3 linked regions of the Macaca fascicularis genome follow. The protein of the gene in region 1 purifies or fractionates together with the protein of each later gene. This does not show direct contact. Links are inferred from orthologs where the notes say so. Each region holds a gene or a part of one and is shown in the gene's direction. Other genes may lie near its edges. The genes, in order: CASC3, UPF2 and UPF1.

Evidence for each region.
Region 2: the proteins of CASC3 (region 1) and UPF2 fractionate together in Homo sapiens (co-fractionation; 3 studies listed by BioGRID and IntAct). This does not show direct contact. The link is inferred for Macaca fascicularis from reciprocal best matches to the Homo sapiens genes CASC3 and UPF2.
Region 3: the proteins of CASC3 (region 1) and UPF1 purify together in Homo sapiens (co-immunoprecipitation; 5 studies listed by BioGRID and IntAct, with this or other methods). This does not show direct contact. The link is inferred for Macaca fascicularis from reciprocal best matches to the Homo sapiens genes CASC3 and UPF1.

The regions. Positions count from the first base shown.
Region 1 is NC_088390.1:61,216,117-61,223,104, forward strand, and holds the start of CASC3 (protein CASC3), read left to right. Parts: upstream 1-2,820; 5' UTR 2,821-2,845; coding exon 2,846-3,076; intron 3,077-3,518; coding exon 3,519-3,546; intron 3,547-3,874; coding exon 3,875-3,912; intron 3,913-6,988. UniProt on the Homo sapiens protein: Required for pre-mRNA splicing as component of the spliceosome. Core component of the splicing-dependent multiprotein exon junction complex (EJC) deposited at splice junctions on mRNAs.
Region 2 is NC_088383.1:12,952,347-12,959,392, reverse strand, and holds the start of UPF2 (regulator of nonsense transcripts 2), read left to right. Parts: upstream 1-2,632; 5' UTR 2,633-2,978; intron 2,979-3,050; exon of another isoform or gene 3,051-3,137; intron 3,138-7,046. UniProt on the Homo sapiens protein: Involved in nonsense-mediated decay (NMD) of mRNAs containing premature stop codons by associating with the nuclear exon junction complex (EJC).
Region 3 is NC_088393.1:19,268,050-19,274,449, forward strand, and holds the end of UPF1 (regulator of nonsense transcripts 1), read left to right. Parts: intron 1-964; coding exon 965-1,139; intron 1,140-1,679; coding exon 1,680-1,761; intron 1,762-2,775; coding exon 2,776-2,937; intron 2,938-3,047; coding exon 3,048-3,265; intron 3,266-3,551; coding exon 3,552-3,671; 3' UTR 3,672-3,674; intron 3,675-4,070; 3' UTR 4,071-5,789; downstream 5,790-6,400. Other genes in the region: GDF1 (embryonic growth/differentiation factor 1), read right to left, coding at 6,164-6,400. UniProt on the Homo sapiens protein: RNA-dependent helicase required for nonsense-mediated decay (NMD) of aberrant mRNAs containing premature stop codons and modulates the expression level of normal mRNAs.

The DNA.
Region 1 (6,988 bases):
ATAATGAAAAAAAGATCAATCCCTCCTTTTCTTCATAGTCCCTAAAGATTGCTGTGGCTCGAGGCCGGGCAAGGTGGCTCACGCCTGTAATCCCAGCACTTTGTGAGGCCGAGGTGGGCGGATCACGAGGTCAGGAGATCGAGACCATCCTGGCTAACACGGTGAAACCCCGTCTCTACTAAAAATACAAAAAAATTAGCCGGGCGTGGTGGGTGGGCGCTGGTAGTCCCAGCTACTCAGGAGGCTGAGGCAGGAGAATGGCATGAACCCCGGGGGGTGGAGCTTGCAGTGAGCGGAGGTCGCGCCAAAGCACTTCAAGCCTGGGTGACAGAGCGAGACTCTGTCTGGAAAAAAAAAAAAAACAAACAGGCCGGGCGTGGTGGCTCAAGCCTCTAATCCCAGCACTTTGGGAGGCCAAGACGAGCGGATCACGAGGTCAGGAGATCGAGATCATCCTGGCTAACACGGTGAAACCCCGTCTCTACTAAAAAATACAAAAACCTAGCCGGGCGAAGTGGCGGGTGCCTGTAGTCCCAGCGACTCGGGAGGCTGAGGCAGGAGAATGGCGTAAACCCGGGAGGCAGAGCTTGCAGTGAGCTGAGATCTGGTCACTGCACTCCAGCTTGGGCGACAGAGCAAGACTGTCTCAAAAAAAAAAAAAAAAAAAAAATTAAATTGGACCCAGACCAAACAACTGAAGGACAAAGTGGCAGACTATCACTTTCCTTATTTAGACACTAAACTTGGCAGCCTTATTTGCACCAGTTTAGCTTATGATCGATAAGATCCTCCAGGTCTTTTACTTTAACACTTATTAAATCATATATCCTCCATTTTGAACTCAGGCAGTTGGCTTTTGGAGCTGGACTTACAAGTCGTCACGTTTGGCCACTTGTCTAATTAGCTGAGATTGTTTGAATTTTTTTTCTGAGACGGAGTCTCGCTGTTACCCAGGCTGGAGTGCAGTGGCTCCACCTCGGCTCACTGCAAGCTCCGCCTCACGGGTTCACGCCACTCTGCCTCAGCCTCCCAAGTACCTGGGACTACAGGCGCCCGCCACCTTGCCCGGCTAGCTTTTTGTATTTTTTAGTAGAGACGGGGTTTCACCGTGTTAGCCAGGATGGTCTCGATCTCCTGACCTCGTGATCCGCCCGCCTTGGCCTCCCGAAGTGCTGGGATTACAGGTATGAGCCACCGTAACCGGCCTTGAATTTTCATTTAATCTCTGAAGGCATTCATAATTACTTCCAGTTTCATGTTGTCTATAAATTTGATAAACATCAGGATCCTTAACCATGTTATTTATAAAAATTCTACTCAGGAAAGGCTGCACGTGTTGGCTCACTCCTGTAATCCCAGCACTTTGGGAGGCTGAGGCGGGCGGATCATGAGGTCAGGAGATTGACACCATCCTGGCTAACACGGTGAAACCCCGTCTCTACTAAAAATACAAAAAATTAGCCGGGCGTGGTGGCGGGCGCCTGTAGTCCCAGCTACTCGGGAGGCTGAGGCAGAATGGCGTGAACCCGGGAGGCGGAGCTTGCAGTGAGGCGAGATGGCGCCACTGCACTCCAGCCTGGGCGACAGAGACTCCGTCTCAAAAAAAAAAAACTTTTTTTTTTTTTTACTCAGGAAAGAATCCTATGCCATAGTGGCCTTTGTTTGATACATACATTATTAGCGTGCACTCCTGTAGGTACACTAAAAACTTAGCTCATGCACTTTGTATATCCTTATAATGGTACAAAGAAAATACATTGATTCTTTTCATTGGTGACAAACGCCTTGCCAAAATCAAAGAATTTCCATGAACCTTAAGAAGGAAATAATGTCAGGATTTTGAATCAACATCCGTTTCTACTGACCATTTATTTTTAAATAGGTTTTAAAATCCTCACAAGGGCAGTAGCTCATGCCTGTAATCCCAGCACTTTGGGAGGCTGAGACGAGAGGATCGCTTGAGCCCAGCCAGGAGACAAGCCTGAGCAATAGCGAGACCCCCATCTCTACAAAAAATAGAAAAATTAGCCGGGTGTGGTAGTGTGTGACGGTTGTCCCAGCTACGAAGGAGGCTGAGGCAGGGAGGTCACCTGTGCCCGGGAGGTCAAGCTGCAGTGAGCCGTGATCGTGCCACTGCACTCCAGCCTGCGCAAGAGACCCTGCCTCAAAACCAAACCAAATCAAACCGATAACACTGGCATCATACCAGCCTGCACTTTGGGACAGGTGATGGCTGGGGTGGGAAGAAACGTGAAGAGGAAATGAGAACACAGAGAAAACGCTGCAACAAGAAGTCCTCTGGCTTCACTGCAGACAATTGGTTTCTCCTTCGCTCGTTATCTTAAAAACCGGGCTGGTGTAGCAAATCTGACGCAGCACTACGGCTTTTAAGATTTACCTTGATTCGTGATATTACCAAGCAAAGGAATGCAGTAAATTGACCTGCTTCAAACGTAGGTAGAACTGAGAAACGGAAACAGAAAACCATGAAACAACCCCAGTGTTGCAGTAAAGCTGTGACAGGTCGATGCCTTCCACTCGGGAAGCCCAAGATGGCCGGGCCAGGAACCCGGGAAGCAGCTGAATTCTCAATTCCCCTCGCCCTAGGCCTGCCTAAGAGAAGTCAGAAGCCGCGCCACGCCCCCTTACATCACCGATAGACGTAATCCGGTTCCGCCGCAAACCTGCCGCAGGCCAAGGCCCCGCCCCGTGTCCCGCCCACCCCAAGCGGGATGGCTGAGCGCCGCACGCGCAGCACGCCGGGACTAGCTAGCGAGCCTCCCAGCAGCCTCTGGGACGGGCGCGGTGCGTAAGTAGCTCGCCGGCGGTGGCCGTTCTCCGTAAAATGGCGGACCGGCGGCGGCAGCGCGCTTCGCAAGACACCGAGGACGAGGAATCTGGTGCTTCGGGCTCAGACAGCGGCGGCTCCCCGTTGCGGGGCGGCGGGAGCTGCAGCGGTAGCGCTGGAGGCGGCGGCAGCGGCTCTCTGCCTTCACAGCGCGGAGGCCGAATCGGGGCCCTTCATTTGCGGCGGGTGGAGAGCGGGGGCGCCAAGAGCGCTGAGGAGTCGGAGTGTGTGAGTGCGCGCAGGCGAGGCGGGGCGGGGTGGGGTGGGGACCGGGCGGCGAGCCGGCCGGCCGGGGGCGGGGTGTAGGTGATGCTAGGTGTCTGGGAGTTGATAGTAGATACTGGGACTTTTTTTGTTGTTTTTACGAGAAAAGGGGAGTTATCCCAGTGCGAGTTTGCATCCGGAGTTCTAAGGGAAGAAGGATTGGGGGTTTCTGGGAGGATGGCAGAGCCGCTGGGGATGGAAAGCGGATGTTTATTCAGAAATCGGGTCTGGAGGGAAGGAGACCAGATCTGCCTTGGCTACTAAAGACCAGGCCTGCCTTGGCTACTACTTGTCTCTCTCTCCGACCATTTTGTGCTCATTCTTCAGCTCTTCACCCACATTTCTTTATTGGGCTCTCCACCTCTGGAAATCACAGAACTAACCCATGTCTTCTACTTTCCTTCAGGAGAGTGAAGATGGCATTGAAGGTGATGGTGAGTAGCATCTTTTACCCCATTAGGACAAGAGTTTTTTTTAACATAAACTCAGAAAATCTATTTCCAACTGTCGACATTCTCACACACGGATTTAGGGCCACAGAGTGGCTTTTTGTAGTATAGTGCTTAAGAGCATAGGTTTTAGCAGTGTAGTCTTGTGCAAGTTACTCTGAGTCTGTTTTTCCTTCTGTAAGTGGAGACTATAATTTTATCCACGTTGTAGGTTGATGTCAGAATTAAATGAGACTCTTAGTCTGACCTATAATAAGCAGCCAAAAAATGTTTCTGGGTTTCTGTTTTTCCACATATTTCTGTTTTATTTCAGCTGTTCTCTCGGATTATGAAAGTGCAGAAGACTCAGAAGTGAGTATGACAGGTTTTTTCCTATGGTACAGATCAGAAATGCTTTTAGAAAGTGTACACACCTTCGTTGCAAACGTACCATGACCTCCGTGTTTATCCTCTTGTGTATTCTTCATTTATGCTTCTGAGAAAGTGTTACAGAATGTCTTGTTCTCTTTAGACCTAGGGAAAACTTGGGGCATGCCGTCTCAAGCCACAGGTGTTATACTTTTAGTTGACTTCTCTTCCTGTCTGAAGAATATGAGATTCTAAATAAGAGAATGAGTACATCTTGAAGTCCTCTGAAAGATGTTTGACAGTTTGTTTTATGCAGTGGAGGTTAAGAAGCCAGCCAGTTGGATATTTTTTTCGTGGATTTTTTTTTCCAAATCTATCTGAAGACTTTGAAAGGGTAGGATTCTGAATGTTTTGTGCCAAGAGCATCCATCATTTTATAGGTGGGGATTTCTCTGTTTCTAGGAGAGTTTCCTGTCTTTTGGATAAACTACTAGAGATGCCATCAGAATAAATGTTTGTTTTCTGGGTTGTTGAGTGGAGTCCTGAGTTCTGCTAATGGGATTATATACAGGGGGAATTGGATAGTGGATCAAAGATTTTGTCTATAAATTTTTAGAACCGTTACTACATTTTAGAATCTGTTAAGCCCTTGAAGATGGAACAGTGAACACTATAACAAAATTCCTATCTTTAGAGATCTTACAACTTAATAAGGAAGTCAGACAAACATTCAAGCAATTGTACCACTTGCTGATAGAGGATAGCGCTGGGATAGGGCTAAGTAGGGTGTTATAGCTGGGCACTGAATCCATCCTAGTCAGTCAGGAAAGATTAAGAGTTGACTGGGTAGAATGTGTTCTAGGCAGAGGGAACAACAGTCAAGAAAGCCCATAGGGGCTGGGAGCAGTGGCTCATGCCTGTAATCCCAGCACTTTGGAAGACTGAGGCAGGCGGATCACTTGAGACCAGGAGTTTGAGACCAGCCTGGCCAACATGGTGAAAACCCATCTCTACTAAAAAATAACAAAAATTAGCTGGGTATGGTGATGTATGCCTGTAATTCCAGCTACTTGGGAGGCTGAGACACGAAAATTGTTTGATCCCAGGAGATGGAGGTGGCAGTGAGCTGAAATCATGCCACTGCACTCCTATGTGGGTGACGGAGTGAGACTGTCTTAAAAAGTAAATACATAAAAAAAAAAAGAGGCCAGGCACTGTGGCTCACGCCTGTGATCCCAGCACTTTGGGAGGCCGAGACGGGCGTATCACAAGGTGAGGAGGTGGAGACCATCCTGGCTAACACGGTGAAACCCTGTCTCTACTAAAAATACAAAAAATTAGCCAAGCATGGTGGCGGGCGCCTTGTAGTCCCACCTACTCTGGAGGCTGAGGCAAGAGAATGGTGTGAACCCGGAAGGCGGAGCTTGCAGTGAGCTGAGATCGCACCACTGCACTCCAGCCTGGGTGACAGAGCGAGACTCCGTCTGGAAAAAAAAAAAAAACCCATAGGGGTACAAAAAAGTAATAATACTTAGGATGAATAAGATCTAAACCCAGCGCAATGGCTCACACCTGTAATCCCAGCACTGTGGGAGGCCAAGGTGGGCCAGTCACTTGAGGCCAGGAGGTCAAGACCAGCCTGGCCAACTTGGCAAAACTCCATCTCTACTAAAAATACAAAAATTAGCAGGTCGTGGTCACGCATGCCCGTAATTCCAACTACTCAAGTGGCTGAGGCAGGAGAATCCCTTGAGCCTGGGAAGTGGAGGTGGCAGGGAGCCATAATCAACACCACTGTAATCCAGCCCGGGCAACAGAGCAAGACTCTGTCTCAAAAAAATTTAAAAAATAAGAATGACTAAGATCTAGAATTTCATATTTGCAACATGGTGACTACAGTCAACAGTAACTTATTGTATATTTAAAAATAACTATTGGCTGGGCGTGGTGGCTCAAGCCTGTAATCCCAGCACTTTGGGAGGCCAAGGTGGGTGGATCACGAAGTCAAGAGATCGAGACCACCCTGGCCAACATGGTGAAATCCTGTCTCTACCAAAAATACAAAAATTAGCCGGGGTGTGGTGGCGCGCGCCTATGGTCCCAGCTACTCAGGAGGCTGAGGCAGGAGAATTGCTTGAATCTGGGAGGCAGAGGTTGCAGTGAGCCGAGATCACGCCACTGTGCTCCAGGCTGGTGACAGGGCAAGACTCCATCTCAAAAAAAAAAATAAGTGTCAATAAAAGAATGTAATTGAATTGTTTGTAACAAAGGATAAGTGCTTGAAGTGATCCGTACCCCATTTACCCTTAACATGATTATTACACATTGTATAGCTATATAAAAATATCTCATGGGCCGGGCGCAGTGGCTCACACCTGTAATCCCAGCACTTTGGGAGGCCGAGTCGGGTGGATCAGCTGCGGTCAGGAGTTCAAGACCAGCCTGGCCAACGTGGCAAAACCCTGTCTCTACTGAAAAGAAAAATTAGCGCCGGTTGCGGTGGCTCAAGCCTGTAATCCCAGCACTTTGGGAGGCCGAGGCAGGCGGATCACAAGGTCAGGAGATCGAGACCATCCTGGCTAACACCGTGAAACCCCGTCTCTACTAAAAAAATACAAAAAACTAGTCGGGCGTGGTGGCGGGCGCCTGTAGTCCCAGCTACTTGGGAGGCTGAGGCAGGAGAATGGCGTGAACCCGGGGGGCGGAGCTTGCAGTGAGCCGAGGTCGCGCCGCTGCACTCCAGCCTGGGGCACAGAGTGAGACTCCGTCTCAAAAAAAAAAAAAAACAACAAAAAAAAGAAAAATTAGCTAGGCGTGGTAGCTGGCGCCTGTAATCCCAGTGACCCAGGAGACTGAGGCAGGAGAATTACTTGAACCCAAGAGGTGGAGGTTGCAGTGAGCTAAGATCGTGCCATTGTGCTCCAGCCTGGGCAACAAGAGCGAAACTCTGTCTCAAAAAAAAAAATCTCATGTACTGCATAAATATATATACCTTCTATGTATTCACAAAAATTAAAAACTTTCTTTTCTTTTTTTGTTTGAGATGGAGTCTTGCTCTGTAACCCAGACAGGAGTGCAG
Region 2 (7,046 bases), on another chromosome or scaffold:
GCTGGGATTACAGGTGCACGCCACCACGCCTGGCTAATTTTGTATTTTTAGTAGGGACAGGATTTCACCATGTTGGCCAGACTGGTCTCGAACTCCCAACCTCAAGTGATCCGCCCTCCTTGGCCTCCCAAAGTGTCGGGATTACAGGCGTGAGCCACCGCGCCTGGCCAGTGCTTATATTTCATATTGAAGGGACACACCCCAACACATTTACTTTTGGAAACTGTTAAGCAGAAAGAGGAAACGCTGAAAAAATTTCTAGCAGAGATAAACCAAGAGGTAGGTATTTTTAAAAAAGCAGCTTAAACTAGGTTAAACATTGGCTTCTAAAAGATCAAAGCTGGATTTCCTCATGGAACAGCACACTCCCAGTTCTCTGAGGTCAGGGGGCAGAGGATGTAGTTAGAGCTGGTTGGCCTCATATGATGCCTTTTTCTTTTCCTTAAAGTCAGGATTTGTCCTTCTCTGTAATTGTAATCTCTTTGTCTGGCCTTTGCTTTTGTCTGTGAAGCTGCCACCAGCTAGGTTTTAAGTAGCGAGTAGCATCGTGTAGGTCTAAATAAAAACTAAATAGCTTCATTCTCTTTTTTCCCCATATAGAACAGTTCTGTCAATTGCAGCAGACAAAAAGAACAATGAACATTTTTGAGACTTTTCTCAAAAATTCATCTTGAGAATGTATTTTCAGAAAATCATAAAGTTTGAATTATCAGAATAAAAAATGATGGCCTCTTCACAGTGGGGTGTTTTTTTCTAGTTAAGACATTACAATGATATTCTCACATCAGGCTTTTGGTGGCTGGCTTGACATCTGTCTTTGGATGTAAAATGATTGGCAGCATTTTCAGTTTACGTAAAAGTTTGCGTAGAGCCACAGCAGAAAGAACTTGGGTTTTTGGAGTTAGATTTGAGTAGAATACTAGGTAGTATTTAATTAAAATTAGTAAGTATGAAACTTACTAATTTTGTGACAGTAAATTAATCTGACTCAACTTTTATAAAATGGTGACTGCAATTAAAATCACAAATGTAAAATAGCAAATGCTCAACAAAAAGGCCCTCCTCTTTTAGGTGATTTTAGGTGATTTCCTTTTAACACCTGATTAAAGGCAAAGGTTGACTTGATTTACGATGAGAAGGATTTAGTATATTTATTGAGAAGGATTTATTATATTTATTAACAAAGAGGTAAAGCTTTTTTCTTTTTTTTTTTTTTTTTTTGAGACAGAGTCTCGCTTGCTCTGTTGCCCAGGCCGGAGTGCAGTGGCGCTATCTGGGCTCACTGCAACTTCTGCTTCCCGGGTTCTAATGGATTCTCCTGCCTCAGCTTCCCGAGTAGCTGGGATTACAGGCGCTCGCCACCACGTCAGGCTAATTTTCTATTTTTAGTAGAGACGGGGTTTCACCATGTTGGGGCCAGGCTGGTCTGGAACTCCTGACCTCAGGTGATCCACCAGCCTCGGCCTCCCAAAGTGCTGAGAATACGGGCATGAGGCACCATGTCTGGCCAGAGGTAAAGCTTCTTAAGGTAATCCGACAAAATGAGAAAAAGAGACCTTGAAGAGAAGTGTGGGTGGCTATCACCAACATGGTATTTGGGGGCAGTTCTCATCATTGTTTATCAAGGCTGCAGAATAGCTGTATTCACCTTTCTCTTTTACTACCCTTTAAATGATTGACCTATGTGTAGTGTGTATTTTTTTAAAATACAGGAAGCAGCAACACTCAGTATGAGAGGATAATTTGCGTGCTAAGAGTAAATGGGGAAGCAAACAGTAAATAGAGACAAACGGGCAAAGGTTGAGTCATAGGGAACCTGGACTTGCCTCAAGTATTTGTGGTTGGTAGTAGCTCATTATGTGTGCCTAGACACCAGGTGGGGCCCCCGCAGGCCAAGCAAACGTCAAGACCAGTTTCGCACCCTTGTTCCTCTAGCTCCGGACCAGCCAGAGCCACCTACTCGGATCATGTTCGCAGAACCCAGCACTGTTTCGAGGCCAGATGCACCATTTCAGAAATTCAGTGGGAAATAAGCAGTGTGGATAAACTGATACCCCATTTTTAAAAGTCGGCCTGGGTTCGCATTCAGAAGAAATGTCGACGCTAGCCATTTTTTTTATAAATGGGTGATTTGATAACTCAGGGAGGTCTTTCCACTGTAATAAAAATTTGCTTGTTAGAACTGGGTGTTTTCTAAGAAGTGTATGGAAAAAGCCTTGATTCGTCTTCGCCCTGGGTGGTTTTTACGTCGAACACCTACAACTGCTACAGAAATCCCCCCGCGGGACTTTTGATGTCTTCTAGGGCATTCTTAAAACTAGACCCATTCCTAAGCGACTCCCACCTCCCAAACCAGCCATATGCTTTAGTTTCTCCAGTTTCCAATTTTCTAAATCTTCAACGTCTCCCCTCGAATTAGTCCAATCAAACTTTCTCTTCTTAGACCTCTTCCTTACGTTCGCACCAGGAAACTCCCAGGAGAATCACGTGCCCAGGCTTGTCCTTAATGGCGCTCCGTAACCCTCCCACTATTCCACCACCCTTCCTCGCCTCCCGTGAGCTCCGCCCCGCCCCATTCGCGCTTCCCACCCCCATCCCCCGCGAAGTGCTTGCGCCTGCGCAGCTCCAATTCAGGCGCTTTCCCTTTCCTGGCGACCAATCCACTTCCTGCCTCGGGTCCTCGGAACACTCCACCTCTCCGCTGGGGCCCTGGCTTGAGGTGCTGGTAGTGGCTACCTTACGCATTACCTGTCTGAAAAATTCGCTCTTCTCATCGACTGGGGAATTTGGAAGAGCCATTAAGTGGGTGGCACTTATATGAGCCTTTGCCTCGGACCCGCCACCCCAGAGTCAAGCTGAGGGCATCGGCATGCCGCGGGGAGGGCGATCAGGACTGTTTTTAATCGGGCAGTCGCGCGGACGGCCTTTTCCCTCTCGCCTCCTTCCGCCCCGCCCCCACTCTCAGCCCGGCCGCGCTGGTGAGTGGCGGGCGGGAGGGCCGGCGGGCGGAGGGAGGAGGGGGAGCTAAGGGAAGGCGGGCCCTCGGCTGCGAGATAGGTGGGGGGAGGGGAGGGGAGAGCCCGAGCGCTGGAGTTGGTGCTGGGAAACCCGGGGCTAATGTTGACAACAGGCTCGAGGTGAGTCCCGGGGATCCTCCTTCCCCTCCGCTCCAACGATCGGGAAGAAACGGGGCTGGGGGGCACCGGCCTAGAGTCCTACTCCCTGGGGGACCCCAGAGGCGACTCCGCACTCTAGCTCTCCGGGGTCGGCGAGCAGTGGAGGGACCGCGGGTCCGGCGTCGTTCTTCTCAGACCCCCTCTCTCCGAGGCTCCCATCAACGCGGGAGCCCCCGGGCCGGGCCGGGCATGGGGGGCGGTGGAGGAGGTGCCTGCCCCACATGCCTGGGCCGGGCCTCGGGGCTGGAGGCGGGGAGCCCGCGGTGGAGGGGCGAAGGTGTTCGGGGGCGTGGAGGAGAGCGAGGGGAGGTCGGGGGAAGCTCCTCGAGAGCCGGGAGGGAAGCGAGGGCGAGGAAGTGGGGAGGGCGCGTGTGTGGGAGGCTGCGGAGTGGGGAGACCGGCCGGGGAGGCTTCTGTGGCGAGGGAGTGTGGGGCGAGAAGTTGGGGTTGGGGCAGCGATGGTCTGCGAAGGTGACCGTGGATACCTGTGGGAAGGGGAGTTGTGGCGGGGAAGTGGTGTGGTGGGTGTAGACGTTGCCACACCACCAGAGCAGGGGTTTGTAGGAGAGGTGTGTGTAGGCGAAGGGGCTTGGGGTGTATCTGGGGATGGTGGGCATGGGCTGTTTGGTTGACTTCCTTTTAATCACATAGGCTGGTTATTCTTCACTTTGCCTTCACCCCTTCAAGACTCCAGGCACTCTCTTCTTGCTAGGACTGTTGGACTAAGGAAGTGACCACAGGATATTTGGTCCCCAGGTTGGCAGAGCAGAGCCAGCTGGGTCCACTCTGGGGTGATCGGACCTTCAGTTGCCTTGCTCTTCTTGGAGGACTTACACGACACGAAGTGATGCATCAGATCAAAGTGAAACGCTCGCTGACGCTTTATCTCATTTCCATAGTTCTTAGGTGTTCCTTAACATCGTCAGTCTCCTCATTTGTGAGCTGGGACAATTTCTAACAATTCTTAACTAAACGTCCTTTATACTAAGGATGTTCTTTAAAAAATAAAGTCAGAAACTGAGAGAGAGTGTTCCTGTGCTGTTCTGTCCTTACAACATTTTGACTAAGAATTGAAAGGTGAAACAGCATTCTCTCACTCTGGAGTATTTTCGGAGCACTCTGATTGGGATTTCATACATAACCCATATGGTACTTTGCAAGGGAATATCTTTAAAAAGGAAACACCCCCTTTTGTGCCCTCTTCCCCCCAGTACACTCCACTGGTACTTTTACTAGTAAATTAGTTTTACTTTCTTTTGGGAGTTCAGAATATATTTAGAATACCAAATAAAATATACAGTTCAAGTGACAGGACACTATTTTGGGAGCTAGGAAGGTGGTTTTAAAGCATGGTTTCCTTTTAAGGGTAGTCTGAATATAAATTGTATTCAGCAAACTAATTTGTAACAGCTAATCGGATTCCAGCGAAAAGATCACGATTTTTTCTTGTTACTATCTTGAGAAAGGACCTTTTTAAAATTGTAGTTTGGACTAGAAAAACTTTTGGAAACACTTTAGATGACAAGTTTGGCTGTTAAAGCTTGAAGTTATTGAAATAAGAATTTTAGTATTTTATTAAATATCACTTAGTGCTCAGTTTCTTTTCTTTTTTTTTTTTTTTTGAGACGGAGTCTAGCTCTGTTGCCCAGGCTGGAGTGCAGTGGCCAGATCTCAGCTCACTGCAAGCTCCGCCTCCCGGCTTTACGCCATTCTCCTGGCTCAGCCTCCCGAGTAGCTGGGACTACAGGCGCCTGCCACCTCACCCCGCTAGTTTTTTGTATTTTTTAGTAGAGACGGGGTTTCACCGTGTTAACCAGGATGGTCTCGATCTCCTGACCTTGTGATCCGCCCGTCTCGGCCTCCCAAAGTGCTGGGATTACAGGCTTGAGCCACCGCGCCCGGCCAGTGCTCAGTTTCTTAAGTGGACATAAAACAAACGTGTTTTGAGGTGAATCATGGTGTTTGTATATTTTATTCGTTTTAGTGTAGGTAGTGAAAAAGAGTACTGGGTAGTGAGTGTTGATCCAGCCATGGAAACTATCTGTGTAATCTTGGGTAGGTGACTCTGCTGCTGTCCTTGGAATGTAAAAATTGAGGATAGAAGTAGATAAAATCTAATAGTCTTTATTTGACTTTACAAATCTCTCATTGTATGCTGAACTTCTCAGTGTTCTTTGTGAGCGAACATTTATTAATGCCTCCCTCGTGCTAGTTACTATGCTAGAATTTTAAGAACTTTACAAGATAGATAGCAGTATATCCTTCTTATTGATAAATACGTGGACTCAGAGAAGTTGTTGCCTGATTTCTGTAGCTATCAGGCTGCAGAGTTGGGAGGCAGATTTAAAATCTATCGACTTCCAAGCCCATGTATGTTGTTTTCACAAGTTGCATTGCTGCCTCTTCGTGAACTTTTAGATTTTTGTCTTATTTTTTTGTTTACGGAAATTTAGTTCCAAGTATACTTTGGGTGTATGCTTGTAATGTGAGGATGAAGTGATTGAAAGAAGATACCAGTATCAGGACTTATGGGTTATGGAGAATCTGTTTTATTATGCTCTAGGGTAGAGTCTATTCCTATTTTTTTTTTTCTTGAGACAGAGTCTCGCTCTGTCGCCAGGCTGGAGTGCAGTGGTGCCATCTCGGCTCACTGCAACCTCCACCTCCTGGGTTCAAGTGATTCTCCTGCCTCAGCCTCCTGAGTCGCTGGGACTACAGGCGTGTGCCACCACACCCAGTTAATTTTGGTATTTTTAGTAGAGACGGGCTCTCACCATGTTGTTGGCCAAGATGGTCTCCATCTCTTGACCTCGTGATCTGCCTGCCTCAGCCTCCCAAAGTGCTGGGATTACAGGCATGAGCCACTATGCCTGGCCCCGAGTCTAATTCTTGAACGCCTACTGTAGCTTTATTTTATATAGTAAATACTTAAAATTTAATTAACAAATGAATCTTATTAAAGAGTCATAAAAGTTTGGGACTTTGTTGAACTAATAAATGATGACCTTTGTGAATTTGTCAAATACTAGATGAATTTCTTAATCTTTTCTTTGAAGAATTTAAGATTTTATCTTTAGAAATGAGACATGAGGCCAGCCATGGTGACTCATGCTTATAATCCCAGAACTTTGGGACGCCAAGGTGGGTGGATCACCTGAGGTCAGGAGTTTATGAGACCAGCCTGACCAACATGGAGAAACCCCTTCTCTACTAAAAATACAAAATTAGCCGGGCATGGTGATGCGCACCTGTAATCCCAGCTACTCGGGAGGCTGAGGCAGGAGAATGGCTTGAACCTGGGTGGCAGATGTTGCGGTGAGCCGAGATCGCGCCACTACACTCCAGCCTGGCAACAGAGTGAGACTCCATCTCAAAAAAAAAAAAAAAAAGAGAGACATGAATTGTAAGTTCTGATGTCATTCTTTGTAGTTTCCTATGGTCCTGAAATGTTACTTGTTGATGTATCACATCAGAAAATGTGAAATCTATATAAACTTTTTTTCACTTAATGATTAATATCCCTCAATAAGATCATGTTATTACCTTAGATATTAAGTTGTCCCCGTATGTTTCAGCCAGAGTCTGCTAAAAGTTAAAAACATTGTGTAAGAACTGCTTAACCACTATGAAGGATTCTTTCTACTCTTGAGATTCATAATTCTATGGTTTGCCATAGTCAGTATTTACAAACAAATCTTCCATCTCGCAATTTGGTACTCTTAGGATTCTTTGGTTCAGAGAATGGGTTCAGATTCCCATTCTGTCACCAGCTGTGCAGGCCTTGGTCAAGTTACTTGGTCAAGTCTCAGTTTACTCATTTATAAAATAGCGAAAATAATACCTACCTCATAAAGATTTTAGTATTAAATG
Region 3 (6,400 bases), on another chromosome or scaffold:
TTTTGTGAATTGATGATAGCAGAAGGGATCCATTCTGTCATCCCACATACAACTAGACATCAGGCCGGGTGCAGTGTCTCATGCCTGCAATCCCAGCATTTTGGGAGGCCGAGTCGGGTGGATCACCTGAGGTCAGGAGTTCTCAACCAGCCTAACCATGGTGAAACCTGTCTGTACTAAATACAAAAAAATTAGCCAGGCGTGGTGGTGCATGCCTGTAATCTGAGCTACTTGGGAGGCTGAAACAGGAGAATCGCTTATACCTGGGAGGCGGAGATTGTGGTGAGCCGAGATCGTGCCATTGTACGCCAGCCTGGGCAACAAGAGCAAAACTCAGACTCCAAAGAAAGTAAGAAAGAAAAAAAAAAAACTAGACAGCAAGGACTCATTCACCAGCTGGAAGTCCGGGGGGCCTGGCCCGTGGCTCCACCCAGCATAGGGAGAGAACCTGGCGCTCCTTCCAGCTCACATACGCAGTAGTCCTCCTGTAGGTCACCATGGCTTTGTCATTGGTTACTTCCTCTTTCTAAGGCGCGCTCTTGTTTGGTGGGTGGTATTGGGTGGGTCCCCCCACAGCTGCGTGAGGTGGGCTAGAGGAGCTGGGCATCGGGTCAGTGCCCCAGCCTGCCAGGGACCCTGTGGGGCCACCTGTGCCCTGGTGCCTGGAAGGCTGACTCTCTTGACAGCAGGTCTTGTCTTCAAACGTATCCACCTAGCCAGGTGTCTGCCATGGGGCTGCTTAGAGTTGGCCACAAAATCAACCCGTGTGCAGGGTCAGTAGCTTGGCATTGGGCTCTGGGGCCTGTCCCTGTGGCTGGCAGCCTGCCTGCTGCCTTGGCTCGCCTGGTCCACGCCTCTCTTGCCTTGGATTTGGGTTGTGAGTGAATGCAGCCTTGCCTCTTGGACCATCCTGTGAGACGGGCCGCTCTCCACCTGCGTCCTCAGCACTGTGCCCTTGTTGCAGGTACGGCGTCATCATCGTGGGCAACCCGAAGGCGCTGTCGAAGCAGCCACTCTGGAACCACCTGCTGAACTACTACAAGGAGCAGAAGGTGCTGGTGGAAGGGCCGCTTAACAACCTGCGCGAGAGCCTCATGCAGTTCAGCAAGCCGCGCAAGCTGGTCAACACCATCAACCCGGTGAGCGTCTGCGCAGGACAGCAGGGCAGCAAGGAGAAACCCGGGCCTGAAACACTGCTGGGAATGTGCCAGCTTGGCCCATGTGCCTGTGAGCTGAGGGAGGGCTCTCCTAGGGGAGGATGGGCCAGCCCACTTCCTGTCTCCCAAGCCGTGTGTGGCATTTTTGGCTCAGGGCCCCTGAGTCCTGGGTGGCCTCTGGGAATTGGGCTCAGGGCTGCTGTGCCGCATGCAGCAGCCTGGGGCCTGGGACCTGGGACGCCGGGAGTTGGAAGCTTTTCAAGCCCGGGGTTCCCTGGTGGTGAGGGAATATGAAGCTTCCTGAGCTGAGGCCCAAGGGTCAGCATCAGCCCAGGTCTGCCAAGGAGGGCAGGCGAGACCCAGAGGCCGTGAGACACAGCTCTCTCCTGTCTCCAGGGAGAGCCCCTGGCACAGTGTCAACACCCCACAGCTGCATACCTGCTGCCTCCCAGGCCACCGGCCCATGGGAAGTTGTTCCTTCTGTTGAGATGACAAATTCCTCACCTATCTAAACCTTCGCAGGGAGCCCGCTTCATGACCACAGCCATGTATGATGCCAGGGAGGCCATCATCCCAGGCTCCGTCTATGATCGGAGCAGCCAGGGTGAGTTGCTCGGCAGGAGACCGGCCGGCCCCTTGTCCTTACACCAGGATGTTGGCTGTTCCCATGGCTGAAGCTTTAGGTGCCCCACCTTTCCTTCCCCTCAAGGGCGGGGCCTGGCTCCCTTGTCCTCCCCGCCCCCAGGGCATCTCTAGCCCCACAGCACCCCTGGGGCGTTTGTCTTTAGCCAGAGTTTATTTGTGTTTCCTGGTGATCAATCTAGTTAGCTTTTTCTTGCCTTTTGGTAGGGCAGGGACTGCATGTAGTACAAATAGAACATTTTCATAAAAAGGATTTTTTTTTCCTTTGGTAAATTCAGGGTGATTTTCATTTATTTTTTATGTTTAGAGACAGGGTCTCGCTATGTTGTCCAGGCTGGTCTCAAACTCCTGCCTCAAGCATTCCTCCCGCTCAGCCTCCCAAAGTGCTGGGATTACAGGCGAGAGTCACTGCACGTGGCCAATTTGCATGGGGGGTTTTTTTTGTTTGTTTGGTTTGGTTTTTTTTGAGACAGTCTTGCTTTGTCGCCCAAGCTGGAGTACAGTGGTGCGATCTTGGCTCACTGCAACCTCTGCCTCCCGGATTCAAGCGATTCTCCTGCCTTGGCCTCCCAAGTAGCTGGGATTACAAGCACCCACCACCACGCCCAGCTAATTTTTGTGTTTTTAGCCATGTTGGCCTGGCTGGTCTCAAACTCCTGATCTCAGGTGGTCCACCCACCTCGGCTTCCCAAAGTGCTGGGATTACAGGCTTGAGCCAACATGCCCGGCCCTGATTTTCAGATCTGTGTAGGCCAGTGATTCCCAGCAGGCTCTTCTGGGGGAAGGTGCCTGCCCTAGCACCCAGCCCCAGGCTGGCTGCTGTAGTCAACATGGAGTCCGGCGAATCTGCATCTTCAGCCTGGGCAGAGCCAGGACAGATGTGCAGCTCCGACTGACTGGCTGGTGGGGTGGGTGGGGCATCACCGGGGTTTGACCGAGGCAGATGACACCTGCTGTGTTCCACTGTGATTTGCAGGCCGGCCCTCCAGCATGTACTTCCAGACCCATGACCAGATTGGCATGATCAGTGCCGGCCCCAGCCACGTGGCTGCCATGAACATTCCCATCCCCTTCAACCTGGTCATGCCGCCCATGCCACCGCCTGGCTATTTTGGACAAGCCAACGGGCCTGCTGCAGGTAAGCATCCATGGCTGTGGCCGGGTGTGGCCCTCCTGAGAGCTCTCGAGGGTGTGCTTGTTTGCGAGGCCCTGGCCTCCTTGGGATCACCCTGGACTGCTGTCTTTCAGGCCGAGGCACCCCGAAAGGCAAGACTGGCCGTGGGGGACGCCAGAAGAACCGCTTTGGGCTTCCTGGGCCCAGCCAGACCAACCTCCCCAACAGCCAAGCCAGCCAGGATGTGGCGTCACAGCCCTTCTCTCAGGGCGCCCTGACGCAGGGCTACATCTCCATGAGCCAGCCCTCCCAGATGAGCCAGCCCGGCCTCTCCCAGCCGGAGCTGTCCCAGGTGAGCCCGCCCCACGCACAGAGCCCTCTTGCAGCCCTGGGACAGGACTTGCTTGAGTGAGAGTGGGGCTGTGCACCTGGAACATGCCCTCTGAAGAGCCCGAGAGCTGGCCTGGCCCATGTCCACTGTCCAAATTACCTGTCCCTGGGCTAGGGTCATCAGAGTGGATCTCCTGGGTCTTAATTTGGGGACGGATTTTCCATTCTCCTCTCTGGGCTTCTGAGGGCTGGGTGGATGTGAGCACCCTTGGCCTGTGGCTTGCTTACCTCCTGACATTGTCTTTCAGGACAGTTACCTTGGTGATGAGTTTAAATCACAAATCGACGTGGCGCTCTCGCAGGACTCCACGTACCAGGGAGAGAGGGCGTACCAGCATGGCGGGGTGACGGGGCTGTCCCAGTACTAAAAGGCAAGGCCCCCCGGAGCAGGCCTGGCCCCATCCCAGCCTCCAGGGAGCTGCTGGGGAGGGGTGGTATCTGGAAATGCATGCTGTCCCCAGTGGGGTCACAGGCCCGCAGGGCCAGCTTGGCCTGTGCCCTTCACCACCAGTCAGGGTGGCTCCATGTGTTGCCCAGTCACAGCCCCACTTTCCCCTTGAAAGAATTCTAGGGCTCCTCACGGAAAGGGATGTGGAGGCACCCCACCCTACCCCATCCTGGCGGGTAGCCCTCTGCTCGCGGGACCTGTTTCCTCATCAGAGTGGGGGAGAGCAGCTCGAGCTCTCCCTCGCTGTCCCGTGCGCTGGGTACCTGTGGGCCTCTGTGCGCCGCCTCTCACCGCCTCCTGCCCTTCTCCCTCCTGACAGGTGGCGGCGGAAGAGCTAAGCAACGTGGCTTAGTCCATCAGCATCTTATTCTGGGTAATAAAAAATAAAAATAAACGGATACCTGTTTTCCACTGCTAAAACTGAAGCACCACTGTGTGAGCGACAGGAAGGGAGAGCGCACGAGGGAGAGGAGCCGAGGCCGAGCGCCCCCTGCTGGCCCGCGGCGGCGAGGAGCAGAGGGAGCGGAGGAGGGGCCGGCCCGCGGGAGCCGCCGCCACCAGGAGGCCCCGCTCCGTCCCACCGGGGCTGCGGCCAGGGCGGAGGGAGGAAGACCCTCATCTCAGAGTAGCCCTTTCCTCTGTCTTTTATTTCTTTTTCTCTTTGATTGAAAGGGGACTACGTCTTAGCAGGAAAAAACTTCGCATTTCTGTGCCCGAGCAGGCTCCTTGCAAAGACGGCGGCGCGCAGGGCAGAGCCCCGGGAGGGCGCATCTGTCCACGCCTACCAGACGCGCCGAGGTCGCGCTGCCTGTGTTCTCCGAGGGCCTTCATTTAAAGAAAATAAGGGTGTTTGGGGTTTTTCTGTTTGTTTTTTCAAGATTCTTTTAAAGGAGTACTGAAGAATACTTTCCTAAGTTTGTCTCTAAAATCTTAGCGGTGGACCTGGGAGATGTGAGAAGCTTCCAGAAACAGTTTGAACAAGCCAGCGCCACTGGAGAAGAGGAGCAACACCTGTGCCGCGGCCTGGAGGAGGATTTTTGTTGCTGGTTTTAGCTTCCGGTGGCTTCTTGCTGCGGGGCATCGGGCCTCTGGGGTAGCCGCCCACCGAGCCTGGAAGCTGCTCGTTCTCCACTGGACTCAGAAGCCAAGCCGCTTCCCGCCCGGACTCGGCGCAGGGCCCTGCACCTGTGAGGAAGGTGCTTTTGGCCCCATTGCGAGGGGCCTTGGCTAGGACTGGCCCTGTGGCCAGGGGGCGAGAAGGTGGCTGTTCCCGGATCAACGGCTTTTTCCCGGGGGCCTTTGGAAGATTTGGTGGAAGGACAAGAGGGCCTGTCCCTGTCCCCAGGAGGCACCGACAGTCCCTGTACTGGTTAGACACACGGAGCGCTGCACACCGAAAGTCCAAATTGGGAGCTCTGCCTGCCAGCAGTTTTGCTGAGGGGGTGATCGCTGCTTCTGGGGGGTAAGGAAACAAGTTACAGGAATTACTGCGTTCTGTGTGAAGGGGCTGGGGGGTGTGGTGTCGTTGGCAGAGGGTCATTTTAGTTAGGAGAGCTGCCTCAGCCCCTCGAACCCCTGGCTTGGGGTGTCATTCCGCCTGGCGGCCAGGCCTCCAGCCTGCCCTGGCCCGGGCCTGGGGCTGTCACTTGCCCTGAGCTGAACACTTCCAGATTCCAGCTTCTACATGGGACAGACGGGGACGCACAGGCCACCTTCCTTCTGGCAGGGACTCTTATTTATTCCCATTGCTCTAGGGCTTTCGGTTTCCCCTTCTTCCGGTAGGCCGCGTAGAGGCATGCACCACGCACCGGGTAGGCTTCTGCGGTGACCCCGCGGCGGCCTAAGGGACGCTGCCTGCCCCATCCCGGCTGTTGGGTTGGGCCGCTTTGCCTCTGCTTCGCCCTGTGCTGTGTTCTCCAGCTTTGTAGCAGCGGCCTTGACAAACCCAGGCGCACCGTACCAAGGCAATGTAACTTTTGATTTTCGGTCAATTTAAGTTCTTTTGTCACCAATAAAATATTAAACAGTTTTGCCTTCACACCAAGGATTGGATAAACTGCAGGGGGCGGAGGGTGTTGGGGGCGGGGGTTCCCTGGCCGAGTGAGGGGTTGGGGTGTGAAGGACGCCAGAGGGAAACAGGCAAAGCCCAGAAAGGGCAGGTCTGCCTTGCAGGACTGAGGAAGGGCGACCCCTGCCCCTGGGCCCCTCCCGTGGGCAGCACCTGGGCCTGTCGGGACGGCTCCCGGGAGTGGCGGGTTAGGCCTCGGGTAAGTGACCTGGAAGTGGAAAGGCCTTTCCGATCGCCAAGGCCGAGGGGCGCTCTCCCCAACCCCAGGCAAAGGAGTCCAAGGAGACCAGCAGAGCAGACCACGCGACGTTTATTGTTGGGCCCGCGTCCTCGCCCGCCCCTCGTTAGCGGCAGCCGCACTCGTCCACCACCATGTCCTCATACTGCCGCAGCACCACGTTGTCACTGTTGTCAAAGAAGAGCACGGAGATGGGCGACAGGCGCGCGGGCACGCAGCAAGGCAAGTCGGCGGCTCCCGGGGCGGTTGCGTGCATGAGCGCGCGCAGCACAGCGTGGTTGAGCGCCGGCGGCCCCCCAGACCCCGACAGCGTGACGGGGAGCGCGCACTGACCCTGGCAGTA